Linked DNA regions of Caenorhabditis elegans. The protein of the gene in region 2 purifies or fractionates together with the protein of the main gene of each other region. This does not show direct contact. Each region holds a gene or a part of one and is shown on either strand. Other genes may lie near its edges.

Region 1 (6,691 bases), 2.7 Mb from region 2:
GGCATCTCTGTGCAACGCGTACTATCTCGACGACCCATCTGTCCAATTGCTACACGCATTCGCGATCTTGTTCCGCGCTGGACCACACTACCAACACTTCCCGCTTGACCCTTTCTCTCTCCCGGAGCCTAATAACACCTGCTTTTTCTACTGGTCGTTTTTTCTTTTATTAATTGCCTCTTTTCTCTCAGCGTGTTTGTTTTTTGTCTTCTATTTTCAATTTTGAAAAAGAAAAACATTTTTCTCGTTATTCAAAAGTTTCTCTTCATGTTTTCTTCTCCGTGTGAAAAACAGTATAGATTTCTCATTCCCAATTCTCTTCCACCTCACCGGGTCACGTGAACTTGATGCGAAGGAAAACAAACCCTCAACTGTCTAGCACTCACAGTTTCTGGTTCCCGAGCGGTGGCGGCACACAAGGTCGAAAAAATTCAGTCACCAAAAATTGATAGCCTCGGCTGTTTTGGCGTGTCAAATTAATGAACACTGTCTTAAGAATTTCAACATAATGTTTCATCTTTTTCCTTTTTAGATTTATCATCTCCTGTTTGAATTTAAATATTTCACAAAGTACAAAAAGTTACGATATAGCCAACTTTTCATAACAGAGAAAAACCACTGTAATGTCAAATTTTCAGAAAATTGGTGAATTTCTGTTAAATATCCTTAGTATCCTCAATTAACAAGTTCCTAATCAATTTCTCTCCGAATCTATTTCCAACCAAAAAGTGTTTCAAGTTTGGCATGTCGCCCGTCCCGCTGTTCATCCCGTCCATCTTCGCTCGTGTGTCCCGTCCATCCCACATATCGAAAATATATTGGTAGTGTGTGTATGTGTGTGTGTGTGTAGAACTGGCCACACAGACGTATATACTGTTAGATACGGGGAGAACCACCAGAGATGAAGAGAAATGGTGGTGAGTGGTCGAGCGCACGTCGATGAGTGTCTATGAGTGCGGTGGTGAGCGCATGAGCGCGTGAGTGTGCGGCGGTGCGGTTTCTCCGTCTCTACACGACATGAAACCCTCTCAGTTGACCCTACGTTCCTTCTTCTCTCTGCACACACACACACATACACACAGCGGTCTCATTGATTCGTGAAAGAAAAAGAGAGAGCGAGAGTGCGGGAGGGTGGTCTGATGAGTGAAGCGTGAGCGGACAGACTCACGGGGGTTAGTAGTAGTGAAGCGAGGAAAAAGTGGAAAGACGGGGAGTTTCCGCTGCGTCTCTCGCCCGGCAAGCAATTTGATGTTGGCCTCTCACTATGAGATGGAGAGAGACAGACAGGGAGAGAAACGCGCAATGTCGTCGCCGGTCGCCTTCTCGCCCTCGATCGGGGTAGCCAGCAGCAGCAGCAGCAGCAGCAGCAGCAGCCCAGCCAACCAGCCTGCGAAGCACCAGACCCCTCTTCTAACTAGTCTCTCTCCTTCTTCTGCTTTTTCCTTCTCCTTTCTCTCTTTCCTGCTTTTTCCTTAACCCCTTGTCCGCCTAGTTCCCACCTAGCCAGCAGCGCCCCGGGGGCTTTTGGGGCCTTTCTTTACAACAGTAGTTATGTAGGTTGTACAAAACTTATTAAATTTTTTAATGTTTACCTTTTTACAGGAGAACGCTTTTTACACTGAACTTGTTTCTATCTAGCAGTATTGCATTAATTAATAGTTTATGCTTTCTAACTTTGACAATGATCTTGTAAAACATAATTTTGCTCAATACTGTTTGAATGGCTTTAGATCATTTTTTATAAAATTTCTATTAAGCTGATACTCCTGGTCCGTAAAATTTTCAATTGCCTTCATGAAATCCTGCTCGTTACGCGGCTAATGTTGTTCGACCAATGTACCCATGTCGAAATCAAATAGTGTTATCAATCAGTCTATCAGTTTCTTTGTTTTCTCTTGTCATCTATCATTTACCATCACGCTCTCGCCAAAACTCATCAATCAATAATATTCCATTTTTTACAGATAAGCTCAAACTCTGATCGCCAGAGCGCGATCAACGCAACCATGGAGAGTCTCGCAAAAAACTTCAACAACATTTCAATAGACGACGCAGCGTGGCATCCTAACGACCAACAGCCTGTATGGGGAAACAACGGTCTCCAGCAGCAACGTGTCTGGGCTCCGCCGGTACCGCAGCCACAGTTCCCAAACAGATCGCCATGGCAACAGGAATCGAACGATATCGGTAATTGGCAATTGTAATCTTGATGACGTAAAAATTGTTTCAGAGCCAAATGTCAACGAAGCCCTTGTTGGACTCAGTGGCACAGGCTCATCAAGTCAAAGCCAATGGGGTGGCATTCAGAATACAGATTATGAGAAACAGATATGGGGTGATCCACCATTGAGCGATGTGCAGTATCCACTTCAACCACATGCCTGTAAGTTCAAATTTGATTAGACGTTATATTTATAAATTTAAATCTATAAATTTTCAGCGTTCGGTGAATTGAATAGTCTTGGAGGTCAATCTGCGCCTTGGTCCATAGGGTCTCAGCCAGCGCACCCGGTTTGGAGTAACGGAGGAATGGGAAAAGAATCTGATGACTTTTGGAAACAGCAACAGCCTCAACAGCATCAGCAATACCCGATGCCATTGCTGCAGGGAGCCTGGAATACAGGCATGAGACATGGACCACCAGGACAAGGACAACGTAGTGGGCCAATGATGCAGCAGCAGCAAGACTACCAAGGGGGATGGGGTGGCCCGAATAACATGGGTGGCAACAAGCAGATGAACCGTCCATGGGGGCAGGACAGCAATCGTGGAATGTCAGGCATGCCGCCCCGAAACGGTCGTCCAAACCACAACCAGGGACGGTACTCTGGCAATATGGGTGGCGGTGTTGACGTTTCAGTTCCACCACCGATGGATATGCACATGGGAGGTGGTATGGGTGGAATGAGAAATATGGGTGTTGCTCCGAATAGTGGACACGGATCATGGAAGAATAACAATGCTGGTGGAGGTCAAGGAGGCCACGGCGGTCAAAGAAACTACAACAACCGTGGTGGAATGGGACACAGTGGAAGCCAGAGTGGCGGAGGATCCAATATGTGGAACAGCACCGGAAACAATGGAAGTGGTGGAAGCATGCAGCAGTTCATGGGAGGAGACCAGCAGTACAACAATCCATTCCCAATCGGCGGAGCTGCTGATGATCTCACACTGACTGTTTGGCATGATCCAAACGGAGAACTCAAGAAATGGCAGAGAGATACTGGAGTGTCCTATTGGGGAGACCCGGAGAAGCAAAGTGAGTTTTTTAAAAAAATATTTCCTTGGTGGGAATTGAATGAAATTCTCCATTGTTTCATGAAAAACTGAAATTAGTCTAAATGTGTTGCTATAGAAATCACCTATTATCGACTATTTTTGCAGCTGACCGTACCATTAGCTTGTGGATTGTTGGCGAAGGTGCCGATGAGGATTTGGAAACTGCATTGAACCGATGTCCAGTACCACAGAAAAAGGTAATATTGTTGTCTTAGGTATTAAATTGAACTTCATGTCTCAGGGAGAGGACAATCAACGTTTCCCATTCCCAGTACCAGCGAAACGGCCAATTGTTGTGACCGGATGGGGAGAGCTTCCAGAAAATGATCCAAACAATCCGTCCAAGAGCGAGTCGACGATATTCGACGAGAACAACAGATGGAACGACTTGACAACTGAGCAAAATCCATGGTATCTTCCGAATCAGCACACTTCAACATTCTCCAGTGACAACACCACTGGATCGTGGGTGCAGGGAGGAACAATTCCACTCAATGAGCCCGGAACCAATCAACACGTGGCTGTGGCGGAGATGCTGAAGAACGCTGTCGACAAGGGATACCTGGACCAGAGCGTGACGATGATGGCCAACTTACCGCCAATGGTGCTGCAGTATGTCAATATGCTGCTCGTCAAAATTCCAGCGTTGGATAGTGTGGAGAATGAGCTGAAGCAGATAATTGAGAGTTCTCTGCCAGAAGATGTGAAAGAGGTTGATCCACAGAATCAACAAAAGTACATGAATGATAGTCAAAAGGTGAGGAAGATTGTCGAGTTTTCAGGTTGTTCAGGATAAAATTATGAAAAATTAAAATAGTAGAAGCCAAAATAATTATCATACTACAACCTATTATTATAGGAAACAAATGAAAGCTAGACATTTTGCTAGAAATTTAAAATATCAACCTTACCAGAAAACTAGCTTAGATCCTGCTTAAACCTAGATTTTAAATTGGGCGGCGGGATAGCTCAGTCGGTAGTGGTGGCCGCTAGCAAGCTGGAAGTCATGAGTTCAAGCCCCCTAGGTTTACCCAGCCTCTATTGAGAAGTGGAGCAATCAACGACTGGATTATCGGTCACGGTCCCCGGCTTGAACGTGGCTCAAATAATAGCCCGGTGGGAGCCCCACCAGACAGTGCACTACGGAACTGAATTCCAGATCCGCAGTGCATAACACCTGAAGTACGGATCGTCCTTTAATCCTTTAATATCAAACTTTTGAAAAATATTAGACGCATCGCTAAGGAGCTCAGATTACTTCAGTTCGATTGCTTGCAAAGATGAATAATATGAATACCAAACAAATCAATTTTCCAGCTTGAACACAATCGTCTCATCATCGAAGTGACGACAGCAAAGATTGAAGTTCAAGAATACTCGAAAAAAGTGAACCGTGCGCTGATGGACGCTGGAATTGTGCAACCGCAGGAGCAACGTGCGCCAGCCTCAACGGAGGACTATCACTACTCGTTCTTAGAATAGATTGTATCGCCCACCGATCTTCTCTCCCACACACGAACAATTATCATCATTACTTTTATTTTGTGTTTCGCACTGTAATCTGAATTTTAAGTTTGGAAATTTGAAATTCAAAGTTTCAGCCTTGTCATCATCATTTCCCATTAACTTGTCTCAGTGACCTTTGACATTTTCTTCAATACTTTTTTACTCTCCCCCTTTCTCTTTAATTTCGTGTGTGTGTGTGTCTGTTTCCTTACTTTATTGCCTCCGGATTTCTATTGTAAACGTGGTCTTGTGAATGTTCTCTCTATCTTGTCGTCTCCTTCCTTCTTTACTGCTGATCAGACGGGGAAAATTACACGTTTTTTGTATTTCACCTCTCGTTTTGCCATCTCCAGATAATCAATTTTTCTTGTTTAAGGGGAGGCTCTCGCCTTTCCCCCTCCCACTAAGAATAATTTGGTGGCTGGTGCTTGGTCTCACAGGGATTCCAGGTTTATGTCTGCCAGTTCATACCTTCTCTTCTCTCTCTCTCATAATAGGGGTCTTTGTTCCAACAATTTCCAACCACGCGTAAATCCATCTTACTTTCCCTTTTCCATAACATCCAAACCTCAAAATATAATAAAGTCCATATTAATCAAAATACTGTATTTCTTTTTTTAAATTGTATCCTTTCGAAAATATAATTCAGTTTTTGGGGCTATTTCCACTAAAACTGCACTTTCTGCAGAGCCTCTGCGAGCATTTTCACCCCACTACTCTTAATCCCCCACGTTCACTTTTCAATCAAGCTATTCCCATTTTTAATTTGAATCAAAATTTCTGTGTATGCTTTGCTTCCAAACGTCATTTGTAATCTGGGTCTTTTCTACGTCATTCTTTACAGTTTCAATGTGCTAATGTCTCCCGTCTCTTGTCTCTTTTTGCTCTCACCCTCACTCACTAAGTTCCAACCAAAAATTGTGATGAAATTATCCCTGAAAACTTGTCAAAATTGGTTCAATCAGCTACATGCGCACACTTTGAAAATCATACAAAAATAAATACAAGAAACGCCTTTCTAAACGATACATAAACTCGTCGTCCCGGCAGCATTTCCCTAGAAACCAGGTCAATTCCTAGTACGGCCCTTTTCCGAATTCTCGCTCTCAATTTCAAACAAAATGGTGTTCTCATTTCATTGTCTTCTTCTCCAAACTTACCGGACTTCAAATAAACTCATTATGTGCAGTACAGTTTCACAATTCGGGACCCTCTCTCTTCCAGAAATTTGTCAATTCCCCTCTCTCATTTCTCACTCCGGCTCTCAAAAATCTTGATTAAATCTCGCATGAACATGTAATAATCAAAACTGTTTTCTTATCTCTTACCATACTTTACTTGTAACACCCATGCCGTCCAACATCACCTTTGGTTCTATTCTCGTATAATAAAACGTTGTGAATTAAACTCTGGAATGTTCAATTTTAGGGAGCAGAAATGAAATAGCACTGTTTCTGTATTTATTTTAATATTTATTTCAAGTTTTAGGTTTGAGTGTATGATAGAAACACAATTAATATTTTGTATTCAAAATAGCCAATTTGTTCAGCAACCGCTTTTTGGTATCACCTGTGCAGCCAGAAACCATTTCTCGTAAAATAAAAGCTTGTCAAAAAGATTCTCCCCGGCCGGGAATTGAACCAGGGTCTCGCATGTGACAGACGCGGATACTCACCACTATACTACCGAGGACACATTTTTCAAAGAATTCGGAGGCTTTCAAAATCATTAATGTAAGTTGAAACCAGATTTACTCTGCAATTCTTACTTAAATTGTAGCATTTTGGCCGACTAATAGTATGTAAAATAAATATGAAAAAACAAACATAAAATAATTTGACAGTTGACCTTGTCGCATTAAAACCAAAAGTATACAAAATATAAGCTGCCAATGATGCATGAGCAA
Region 2 (7,303 bases):
AAATAAAAGTGTCATACTGTACATAATATGCACTTTTATAACTGTTTCCTCATCAAAAAATATTACCCAAATTTCATAAAACTTTCATTCATGCTTAAAATTTTTTGATTAGTGCAAATATACTTTCCACTTTTGTAAAAATTATCAAATTATTTACGGAAGAAAAACCACCCCCTTGGGTATCTTTTAACGAAACTTGGTTTTTAAATTGTTGGGTCTGTTAAACTTTTTAATTTTCATTGTCATCGTTTCTAAGTCCATTCCAAAACTGTTCATGTTCGGTGTCAGGCACGGCACTACCCATAAACATGAACCTTAACCCTTGACGGGACAGACGGGAGGCCGCTCATAAAATGCACTATACTGCTCAAAGCATCTCTCTCCCCCCGCTTCTCTGTGTCTCTTGGACCATTACACATTTTCGCTGGTCTAATGCCAGGGCAGCCTCGTCCAGTTCCAATAGGTCCTTCTGCCACTCTTCCTCTTTCTTTCCCTTTTACTAACCACCATCTGCCGTGGTTTTCGTTGGCTTTCAATGGCGTGTGCGGCCTAGAACCGTCTTGTACTTTTCAGTATTCATAGATTAGCTGATGGAAAGAGATTATCCCGACCATTATCGTTTCTCATTTTCAGTTTTAGTGCTTGAGAGGATTTAGTGTTTCGTCTAGATCAGGAAGTTCACAGATGCACTTTATTCTTTATTGAAAGATCTTTCGAATTTGCGGAAGTCGTTATTTTGAATTAATCTTGAAAATGCTATTTTTCAAACAGAAATGTATTAGCTTCCTTAAACTATTCATACAAGTTGAAAAATTTTTCAAATACATAGCTGATAGTTTGATTTGTTATTAAATATGCTTCGAAGATTTTAAAAATGACCATTTTTAAACAGTTTGTAGTTATTCAAAACATTGGGCTCACATACCATACAAAGTTTTCAATATTCTAAAGTTTTTATTTTAATTTTGAGTAAGACACCAATTTTTTCTGATGTGTTTTCACAAATTGGTGATAAATTTGAAAATTACGGCTAACTTCCCAGCAACACTTCCTTCGCATTGAATTCATTTTTTGATCGTGTTCATTCCGAATTTTGTTTTTCAGTTTCTGTTCTATTTTGCTTTTTCCTTTTTCCTTCTCCATTCCCTCGTTCACCTTCCCCCTCTTTCTTCCCGAAACATCAATAATTTTCAGAGAAACCTCAAGAAAGTCTCTCAACTCCACTCGTGGCATATGCACTTCAGACGGTGTAGCTGACGACGAGTTTAACATCATTCAGGAATCTAACCAATAGCAATCACTGAGAAAATCATCATCAGCAATCGGGCCAAAATCAACTTTCTCCTCTTCTACTACTATTTGTTCAACTCTTTCTTCTCCACTACCCCTGCCAACTCGAAGAGACGAATCTGTAACCGACTGACAACACCGACGTCCTTCTACCTCCTTCTACCTCTTCCTTACCCTTATTATTGCTTTAAAAGGATACAATAACTAAAGGAACCAGAAGCTTCTACCGCTACTCTTCCCATCTCACTGACCCAACCCAGCGCTTTCAATCCCTCTCATGGCTGCCGAACTGAACAACACCAACACAAATGGTAAGCTTATTTTATTATTACTTATTCTTAACATAAACATCTGTACTAAAGAAGTTATCATAAGATTTATTTCTAACAATTTTTCCTCTTCCATTTTTCCACCAAATCTAATTGCACTTTCCGGGAGATTAATATTCAATCTGAAAAGGTGTCCGGCAACATAATTCCCTGACTTTAACATCAAACATTTCATGAGACTTTGCCATTAGAAAATATTTGTATTCACACATGTGTATAATTTAAAATATTCATTTGTTCACTTTTGGGACAATCCTGTATGTGTTCTTCAATAATGGAAATAATGTTAATTTGCATTAAAAATTGAGAAAGAAATGCCAAGTGTAATTTTTGATATTGAGAAAAATATGTATATTTCTTCAAGATTTTCGACACCACAGAGACTTGATAAAGGTCTTGAAAATAATTATGAGTGTTTTTGAAATGCGAAAAACTGTCTGTGAGAACGTTGATAAATATACTGAAAATAGTGTTTAAAATCAAGTTTAAAATTTTAAAAATTGAGATTGAAAATCGAAAAATATCCAAGTTTCAACATTTCTGAGATAATAAATAAAACTTTTTTGTCAAAGTTCTGATTAGTCTGTAGAAATTTCACTTGGCATAGAACTTGTATGAAATAATTTTCAATAGACTTTCAAATTATGAGAAGTGAAAACTTTCTGTTGACCCTCCTGGCAACAAATAAGCAACTTTTTGGAAATTGTTTTCTATAATATTTAGTGATTAAATAAGTGATTTTGAACAACCTTATGGTGCTTCTCCAATTTTACTATAATTGTTATATTTTTCTAATATTTATGTAGGAATCCTTTCAGAATGAATGGATGAATTAACTACTACTACCAATTTTGCGCATTTAGTTTTTTTTGCAATTCTCAAAATTGTGCCAAAAACAATTCTAAAAATTCTAAAAATCCACATTCACATTCACGACAGTATGCAACCAGATGTGGTGATTTTTACAACCAACACCTTCTCTTTTTGCCTCTCAAATTTCACTTTTGTTTGGAAGCCCTTCTGTTTAGAGTTTATGTCACTTTTCAACTCATACTATTTCCATACGAAAAGTCCGTTGTCTATCTCTCTGCGTTTCCTTCTAATCGCAAATCTATTCCACCCGATCGGACAACTGACCCACATCGATATGTTTAATCGCATCGGCTCTCAGCACTCCGCGCGTTTCTCTCCCTTTCTCTCCACAGACCATCTTTTTCTTTGTTTTGTGAGTCGATCCAACCCGCTCCCGGCAGCCTGCTTCCCCCTGTATTTGGTAGTTTCCAACTCTCTCTCATTTTGCTTGTTCCACTCGCCTCTCTCGCGACACACTATCTCTGCCGTCTCCTGATTTCGCATAGTCTCTTGTTAGTGTACAATAGCGTATAGTACTGGCCACCGAATGTCTGCGTCTCTTGATCTTTCGGAATGCATTCTGTCAGCGCCCGCTTGCGCAGCAGTCCGATTTCCGATTCGTCGTGTCCTCGTCGTCCAGTCGCCGTTGCGTCCTCCTTTGACGTCGCTGCCCGACACTGTTTTACTTTTCTCTTTCTCTTTTCCTCCACCCCGTACCTCACACGAACAACCTGTCGGTTTCCAATCTATATATCGATTTTCTCTTTTTTAAGTTTTGGGTTTGTCTGCATTTGTAGAATTTTTTTCCAAAAATGCATGACGATCTATAAAAAAACCTGAACAATCATTTCACAATACATTCATTTCAGAGTCGTCTAACGTCGCCTCAAACGACCCAATGTCCGGCGGGCCGCAATATTTGCCAGGAGTCATGAATTCTACCATTCAACAGCAACCACAGAGCGCAACATCGTCGTTTCTGCCAAGTGGACCGATTAGTTCGACGTCCACCTCCTCGCAAGTTGTTCCAACATCTGGAGCCACCCAGCAGCCGCCTTTCCCGTCGGCACAAGCGGCTGCGTCAACAGCGCTCCAAAATGATCTAGAAGTAAGTTTTCATCGTTTAAAAACGCAGTGTACACATCTGATATTATCTTGTTATTAGTTTGTAATAATTTTTAAATCTTTGAACTTACACATTGTATTTCAGGAAATATTTAATTCTCCGCCTACTCAGCCACAAACATTTAGCGATGTTCCTCAAAGACAAGCCGGAAGCCTGGCTCCAGGAGTTCCCATTGGTAATACAAGTGTCTCAATTGGAGAACCAGCAAATACACTTGGAGGCGGTTTACCAGGCGGAGCACCGGGACAATTACCTGGGTAAGAAATTTGAAATGTTATGAACTAATACGGTATAATCAAAAAAAAAACCCCCGTGAGAAGCAATAACTGGCAATCATTAATTTTTGATTTCAAAAAAGGGATTTTCGAAAAAATGTGGAATTTTTAAATGTAAATGTTTTCAGCGGCAACCAGAGTGGTATTCAATTCCAATGTCCTCGACGCCCAAACCACGGAGTTGAGGGTCGCTCAATTCTTCTTCGCGCCAACCACTTTGCAGTGAGAATTCCTGGAGGAACTATTCAACACTACCAGGTCGATGTTACTCCAGACAAGTGCCCAAGAAGAGTTAATCGGTAATCATTATTATTCCAAAATGAACTAACTTATTAATTGTATCAATTTTCAGCGAGATTATCAGCTGCTTGATAAGCGCATTCTCCAAGTACTTCACTAATATTCGCCCTGTTTACGATGGAAAGCGCAATATGTACACCCGCGAGCCCCTTCCAATTGGAAGAGAACGTATGGATTTCGATGTCACACTTCCTGGAGACTCCGCCGTTGAGCGTCAATTTTCGGTTTCTTTGAAATGGGTCGGACAAGTTTCTCTCTCCACTCTGGAGGATGCCATGGAAGGAAGAGTTCGCCAGGTTCCATTCGAAGCCGTTCAAGCTATGGATGTCATTCTTCGTCATCTTCCAAGCTTGAAATACACTCCTGTCGGACGTTCATTCTTCTCGCCACCAGTTCCTAATGCTTCTGGAGTCATGGCAGGATCATGCCCTCCCCAGGCTTCTGGAGCTGTCGCAGGAGGTGCCCACTCCGCTGGACAATATCACGCCGAGAGCAAACTCGGGGGTGGCCGTGAAGTCTGGTTTGGATTCCATCAGTCGGTTCGCCCATCTCAGTGGAAAATGATGCTTAACATTGATGTCTCTGCGACTGCTTTCTATCGTTCCATGCCAGTCATTGAGTTCATCGCCGAAGTTTTGGAGCTTCCAGTTCAAGCTCTTGCTGAGCGTCGTGCTCTATCTGATGCTCAACGTGTCAAGTTCACCAAGGAAATTCGTGGTCTCAAAATTGAAATCACCCACTGTGGACAAATGCGCAGAAAGTATCGTGTCTGCAACGTCACTCGTCGTCCAGCTCAAACTCAAACTTTCCCACTTCAATTGGAGACTGGTCAAACTATTGAGTGCACTGTCGCCAAGTATTTCTATGACAAGTACAGAATTCAACTCAAATACCCACACTTGCCATGCCTCCAAGTTGGACAGGAACAAAAGCACACCTACCTGCCACCAGAGGTGTGCAACATTGTTCCAGGACAACGTTGCATCAAGAAGCTTACGGATGTGCAGACATCGACAATGATTAAGGCTACAGCTCGTTCTGCTCCAGAACGTGAGCGTGAGATTTCCAACTTGGTCCGCAAGGCCGAGTTCTCAGCTGATCCATTTGCTCACGAATTCGGAATCACCATCAACCCAGCAATGACTGAAGTCAAGGGACGCGTTCTTTCTGCTCCAAAACTTCTCTACGGTGGACGCACTCGAGCCACCGCTCTCCCGAATCAAGGAGTTTGGGATATGCGTGGAAAACAGTTCCACACTGGAATCGATGTTCGTGTCTGGGCGATCGCTTGTTTTGCTCAACAACAGCATGTCAAGGAGAACGATCTCCGCATGTTCACCAACCAGCTTCAGCGGATTTCCAACGACGCTGGTATGCCAATCGTCGGAAATCCATGCTTCTGCAAGTACGCTGTTGGAGTCGAGCAGGTTGAGCCAATGTTCAAGTACTTGAAACAAAACTACTCTGGAATTCAACTTGTAGTGGTTGTTCTCCCTGGAAAAACTCCAGTTTATGGTATGTAATTTGTTTTTTTTGTTTATTTCTGATTATTTATTTTCTAATTTTTCAGCTGAAGTTAAACGTGTTGGAGACACAGTTTTGGGTATCGCCACCCAGTGCGTGCAAGCCAAGAACGCAATCCGAACAACTCCACAAACTCTTTCTAATTTATGCTTGAAGATGAACGTAAAGCTTGGAGGAGTCAACAGTATTCTGCTTCCAAACGTACGCCCAAGAATCTTCAACGAACCAGTCATTTTCTTTGGATGTGACATCACTCATCCACCAGCAGGAGACTCTCGCAAACCATCCATCGCAGCAGTTGTCGGCTCAATGGATGCTCATCCTAGCAGATATGCTGCAACCGTCCGTGTCCAACAACATCGTCAAGAGATCATCTCAGATTTAACCTACATGGTCCGCGAGCTTCTTGTTCAATTCTACCGCAACACTCGCTTCAAGCCAGCCAGAATCGTTGTCTACCGTGATGGAGTTTCTGAGGGGCAATTCTTCAACGTTCTTCAATATGAGCTTCGCGCGATTCGCGAGGCTTGCATGATGCTTGAAAGAGGATATCAACCAGGAATCACTTTCATCGCCGTCCAAAAGAGACATCACACTCGTCTCTTTGCTGTTGATAAGAAGGATCAAGTCGGAAAAGCATACAATATTCCGCCAGGAACTACTGTCGATGTAGGAATTACCCACCCAACCGAGTTTGACTTCTACTTGTGCTCTCATGCTGGTATTCAAGGAACATCTCGTCCATCCCATTACCATGTTCTTTGGGATGACAACAATCTGACAGCCGACGAACTTCAACAGCTCACATATCAAATGTGCCATACCTACGTCAGATGCACACGATCCGTTTCAATTCCAGCGCCAGCATATTATGCTCATTTGGTAGCGTTCCGCGCTCGTTATCATCTTGTCGATCGCGAGCATGACTCTGGAGAAGGTTCTCAGCCATCTGGAACTTCCGAGGATACCACCTTGTCGAACATGGCTAGAGCTGTGCAGGTAATATTGGCATTTAATTTAGTTTCTATTTGAAAAAAATTAAACACTTTAGGTTCATCCGGATGCCAACAACGTCATGTACTTTGCTTAAACTAGGAATCTGCCTAGGAATCGACTTCATAGATAGCTATTACTCACCAACTTGCTCTAACAGAAGACGAGTATTGAATATTGTCATGTCTACCTAATATCTATCTTGATAATTCTGTGTCTTTATCTGTATCTGTATCTCCATTCAAATTGATTTCAATATGCTACAATGTTATAATGTTTTTCTATAATCGGACTCTTATGTTTTCAAATTCCATATTTAATTTGTAATTCTAATTGCCGCTACCTCTCGTGTAACTGTTTTCTTTCTTCCATCCATTTTTCACTTCCCACAACCAAAATGCCTTTACTTAGTGACTTTTCCTCTCATCCTGGTAGCCTACAAAGCTTCAAAACCCATTTAATATCCTTAATATTTTTCCTCGCAGTTGATTACATTGTCCAAATGCACTGCTGTCGTCTTTCCACCTTGTAACCTCCGAGAGCACCGAGCACTACGACTCCTCTCTTCACACTCACATCTTCTCGCTGAGCAATCATCTTGAAATGCTTCTTTC
Region 3 (4,666 bases), on a different chromosome or scaffold from region 2:
ACTTTAGCAGCAATTCCAGGTGCATACTCATCCGGCTCCTCATCAATATGTTCTAATAATTTGGCAATCGACTCTCTTCCTTTTGGAAGTAAATTATCATCGAGTTCTCCTTCTAAATGTAATTGTCGACATGCTTCAAGTGCAACTGCCATCTGTGCAGTCTTCTTATTTGGCATTGGATTTTTGAGCACAATTGCATGTTTGATCGGTGAGTTAATTGGAAGAAGAAGCTCTGCACAGTATTTGGTCACTCCATTCTCTTCAATTGGAATGATTTGATTGTGTGGAACAAGACGAGTGAAGATATCGGAAGGAAGCTTCGAACAATATCTGGAAGATTACCAATTGTTTGTATTTAGCTGTTGGATTAAACTTCTAAAGTGAAATTATTAATATACCTATTAATTAATGCGATAGCAGTTGACATTTTCAATGTTGCACCAGTTTTTTCAACAACATATGGTTCCATTTGAGAATCAACATCAAATTCTTCAAATCTATCCGAATCATCTTCAATAGGATTGTTGACTGTACGATGGCGGCTAAGAAGAATCTTAATATCATTTTTTAAACAATTGAACTGAAGATTCCAATATTACTTTTTCTATTTGCTGGAAATCTTTCAAATCACTATCACACGCCGCAGTATCTTTCTCCTCAACAGTGATAACATATCTTGATCCAGCTCGCCGAGCTCTTCCCTTTGACTGAACGTATGATCTCATGTCAAGTGGTCGATCAAATTTAATCACAAGATTACATTGTTTAACATCTACACCTTCTTCAAGCACTGATGTAGCGATAAGACAATTGATTTCATTTCGATGGAAACGGCGAAGAACCTAAAAATTATATTTAGACAATGATAATTTAAACATAAATTTACTTCAGTTTGTCGTTTATGTAATCCTTGACTATCCGAACTCGCCAAATTTCGTCCGCTGGCTCCAACGACGTAATCCGGGTTCACAAACTTGAACTTAGGCTCCCATGATTTAATATGACGCATCATAAGCTGAAAATTTACAATATATTACCGTAACATTCATATAAACCTACAAGTAACGAATATGCAATGTACCGTTGATCGACAAAAATAATGGCTGATAAATGTTCTGCTTTTTCTAACTTCATTCGTTCTTTTTGAAATTCGGGGTTGAAAGTTTCTAGGATTTCGAAAAGACGTATGACACGTTGAGGAACATATGGACGGAGAGCTTCAATACTTTTGATTTTCTTCATCTAAATTGGAAAAAATTGGTGTAATTAATAGTTGATTGCTTACACTGGAAGTTGGAAAATGCTAACTTGGAGTTCAATATAGAATAGTAATTTTAGATTAAAAGTGTTATTGAGGATCATTCCAAAAATTCAGCTGCGTCCGAGCAGTTTCACCCCTTTTGAAAAAACTTTCAACTTAAAAAAAGTGTTTCCAAATATTCGTAAATTGTTTTTAAAAAACATATAGCATTCAAGCTTCAGCCCATAATTCTCAAAAAGCCATGAATTGAGCTACAATCTTACAATTTGAAATCTTGCTCAAGATTTGTAGCTCTCTTGGTGAGTAGGGAGTTACGAACTTTTTCGAATGATAACACTTTTTTGTCGAAAAATTGCTATACCATAACGATACTTCGAGGTACCATTTTCCAACGTCTCTTGTTAGGTACGCACCTCCGGTTCCAACAATCTTTTAATCGTAATCATAGATGTTTTTGCCATATTCAAAAACCGCAACGTCTTATCCGGTAGCACTTGAGATTTTATAATTTTTCCCAACTCTTTCTCCCAAACTTGAGCCGTTCGCCATGCCGCCCAAGGTCCCAGTTGACGAAAAACAGCTCGCGTCGTCTTGAGAGAATCTTTAATCGGTCTACGAGGATCCAAATCTAGATCTGGATGAAATTCTGTTGTGGTGTTCACAAAGGCTACAGTTTCATCAAATATTTCTATAACTGTGTCGAAATTCGGAATACCCAGGCACCCAATTTCAAAGTCTTTGCAGATGATCACAACTTCATAGGGTTTCGCACCGTATTTCGAGAGCTAAATTAGTTTTATTGGAAACAAGTCTTTGTTTGTCTTTTTTAAATCATACCGAGACTAAATCACTAGCTGTCTCTATAACACTGTCCATCGCAGATTCCAACTTTTTTAACTGTTCCATTAGTTTTTCCGGCGCAACTTTCGCTTTGATAAGACTGGCTGTGAGTCCTAATACACGTGGGACGGGTTTGTCTGAAAAAATATTTCCGTATTTTGAAGCGAATTCGAAGTTTCACCATTAATTCCTCAATACTTACCCTTTTTCAATAACTTATAATCGACCATGATGCTTCTGTATGGATGTTGAGAACCGAGAGCATGATGACATTCGTCAAAGATCAGAACACACATGTCTTCAATTTTCAAGTACGCATGTCGAATCAAATCAAGAAGGCATTGAGCTGTGATCACAACAACCTGAAATATATATGCTCGATAGTTCAGCTTCGTATTCTCACTCACATGGTGCCTCTTCATGAACTGATCACATTGTTCTTTGCTGTCCCATAAACCACTACTTGTCTGTCCGTGGACCTGACCAACTTTGAAACTTGTGTGAACTTCGATGTGGATAGCTTGTTGTTCAACGAGGTTTACTGGAAAAAATGATGTTTTAGAATAAATCTTGTTTTTTTTTGTCAATTATTCACTTTACTGGCCAGCTGGCTTATTTTTAATAGACGAAATTACCTTTCTCTACAACAAAAAACGCTCGTTTTCCACCCTGATCCAATGGTGCAAACAATTGAACTCCATATTCTTTCAGCAGTAGAACTGCAATGAAAGTTTTTCCTGAACCAGTGCCTAGTTGGACGATTGTGTTCTTTTTTGTCGCTTTATCCAAAAGTTCCACCTGAAAATCGATTATTTTTAATTTATTTTGCTACTTAAAAATTACCTGGTAGTCCCTGGGGTTAAAACATTGTAAATCAGCTCTTACCCTGACCATTATTGGTCTGAAAACAGGGAAAATTGATAATGTTCAAAAATTACAATAAAAAATAATTGCCGCTGACTGCCCCGTAGTATGCGCTCTACTGAACCAATGTCTATGTCTCTTTCATGGGAACATTCAAAAGACGGAGGAAAAGTGGAATCGACAGAAATTTGAAAGAAAATACTCTGAAAAATCGTGTGAAAAAAAAGAAACAAACATTTTTTCGTATAATTTTTAAAGGAACATTTATTCGCGGTTTTTGTGGAAATGTAGTTTCCGAGACCCCAACCTTCGTTTTAAGCATGATCCTTTAATATATACAGTTTCTCACACATTTGTCATCGTTCTCTTCTCGTATCCTTGCTGAAATTATTTTAACCATTTCGAAAATGTCCATTTTTGACAGAATGACTACTTCGAAAGAGGCTGCGATGAAGTACAGGTATGGAATTTTTGAAAATGAGTTCCGTAAAGACAGTTTTCAGACAATTTTGCGTCTCAAAGAAAAAAGAAGTCTGGGATGCTCTGATATATCACGCAAAATACGCAAAAAATATTGAAAAAGTTTATGATATGACGACAGTTCTGCAACGAGTACAGCAAGAATGCCTGATGGTGAGTTTTAAAATTTTTAAATCCAATCAAGAACAAATTAGCCTTATTCTCAATTAAATGCTCTGAAAAATCTTCTCCTTATGGAAAACGGTCAGAAAATAGAGGTGTAACAAGCTAATGGAAAATAATTTCAGTTTGCATTGGAAAAAGGCGTTGGTCAACCGGATATTCGCGATGCTGCAGAGCTCATCTTCCCACTGGCCATGCAGAAAGTTGTTATCAAAGTTCTCAGACCTTATTTTATGTCGCACTTCACTAATTACAGACGTATTTTTTTTTCATTCAGCCCCAGTTTCCAATAACATTTTTCAGTTGCCATGTACCTTCCTCATCGAAAAATCGATCATGGAATCGATTTAAACCAAGAGCTGTGGACACCAGAAAAAAAAGAAATATGCGGGCAATATGTTCAAGATTTTAATCCTTTTGTCAATGAATTGTGGGTAAAGCCTGACTTCCTAAATTATATATAACATTTTCAGAAAAACTGGAATTCTCAATGCAAATCGTCACATGAACGCAGCACTTTCAGTGTATATTCGCGAGCTTGCTGCAACATTGGTGATGCACGAGAAAGCGGCTTTTGACAATGAGCTGAGATGTTCAATGTTTCAAGAAATTATGGAGAGTCTGAGGATTTGGTCAGATCAAGTAACAATGCAAGACGCATTCCATTTAATTAGTGACACTATTTACAAAGATGTCTTCCAAATGCTTTCCAAAAACGTGAGTTTTTAAAAAAATTTGGAACCTAAAAAATATTTTTTGTAGGCATATGAAATGATCGCCGTAGATTTTCCAGTAAAATTTCGCAGTCTCATCACAATGAAATATTGCCTTTTGAGAACTAATAATCATGGGAGAGTCGATTTCACAAATTACTTGATAGATCAAGTTAACACAAAACTTCTTGTTGCATGTAAGTTGGTGAGGGGAATTATTTAAAACTTAAATATTTAAAATTTCAGCGGTTGATACAAAAGACATTTTGAAAGCTTATGCGGCGTGCGTAGAATCTCTTCGTGAAATGGACAATAGTTGCGTGGTTATGCATAAAGTTTGTGGAGT

The links.
Region 1: the proteins of alg-1 (region 2) and ain-1 purify together in Caenorhabditis elegans (affinity purification with western blotting; 8 studies listed by BioGRID, with this or other methods). This does not show direct contact.
Region 3: the proteins of alg-1 (region 2) and dcr-1 purify together in Caenorhabditis elegans (affinity purification with western blotting; 6 studies listed by BioGRID, with this or other methods). This does not show direct contact.

Annotation. Positions count from the first base shown.
Region 1 is NC_003284.9:16,611,487-16,618,177, forward strand, and holds ain-1 (ALG-1 INteracting protein), read left to right. Parts: upstream 1-1,964; 5' UTR 1,965-2,006; coding exon 2,007-2,187; intron 2,188-2,230; coding exon 2,231-2,383; intron 2,384-2,440; coding exon 2,441-3,259; intron 3,260-3,384; coding exon 3,385-3,476; intron 3,477-3,520; coding exon 3,521-4,036; intron 4,037-4,385; exon of another isoform or gene 4,386-4,534; intron 4,535-4,596; coding exon 4,597-4,761; 3' UTR 4,762-6,189; downstream 6,190-6,691.
Region 2 is NC_003284.9:13,947,922-13,955,224, forward strand, and holds alg-1 (Protein argonaute-1), read left to right. Parts: upstream 1-1,567; coding exon 1,568-1,601; intron 1,602-3,340; coding exon 3,341-3,579; intron 3,580-3,681; coding exon 3,682-3,854; intron 3,855-4,000; coding exon 4,001-4,171; intron 4,172-4,224; coding exon 4,225-5,687; intron 5,688-5,742; coding exon 5,743-6,695; intron 6,696-6,747; coding exon 6,748-6,786; downstream 6,787-7,303.
Region 3 is NC_003281.10:8,077,280-8,081,945, forward strand, and holds the start of dcr-1 (Death-promoting deoxyribonuclease), read right to left. Parts: upstream 3,003-4,666; 5' UTR 2,996-3,002; coding exon 2,945-2,995; intron 2,900-2,944; coding exon 2,737-2,899; intron 2,643-2,736; coding exon 2,509-2,642; intron 2,464-2,508; coding exon 2,304-2,463; intron 2,239-2,303; coding exon 2,099-2,238; intron 2,047-2,098; coding exon 1,675-2,046; intron 1,243-1,674; coding exon 1,060-1,242; intron 1,016-1,059; coding exon 887-1,015; intron 843-886; coding exon 600-842; intron 554-599; coding exon 399-553; intron 331-398; coding exon 1-330. Other genes in the region: apc-2 (Anaphase-promoting complex subunit 2), read left to right, coding at 3,373-3,425, 3,469-3,598, 3,733-3,865, 3,911-4,037, 4,081-4,324, 4,370-4,517, 4,567-4,666. UniProt on the Caenorhabditis elegans protein: Component of the ERI/DICER complex which is involved in processing amplified double-stranded RNA (dsRNA) intermediates during small-RNA-mediated gene-silencing or RNA interference (RNAi). Involved in cleaving dsRNA in the RNAi pathway.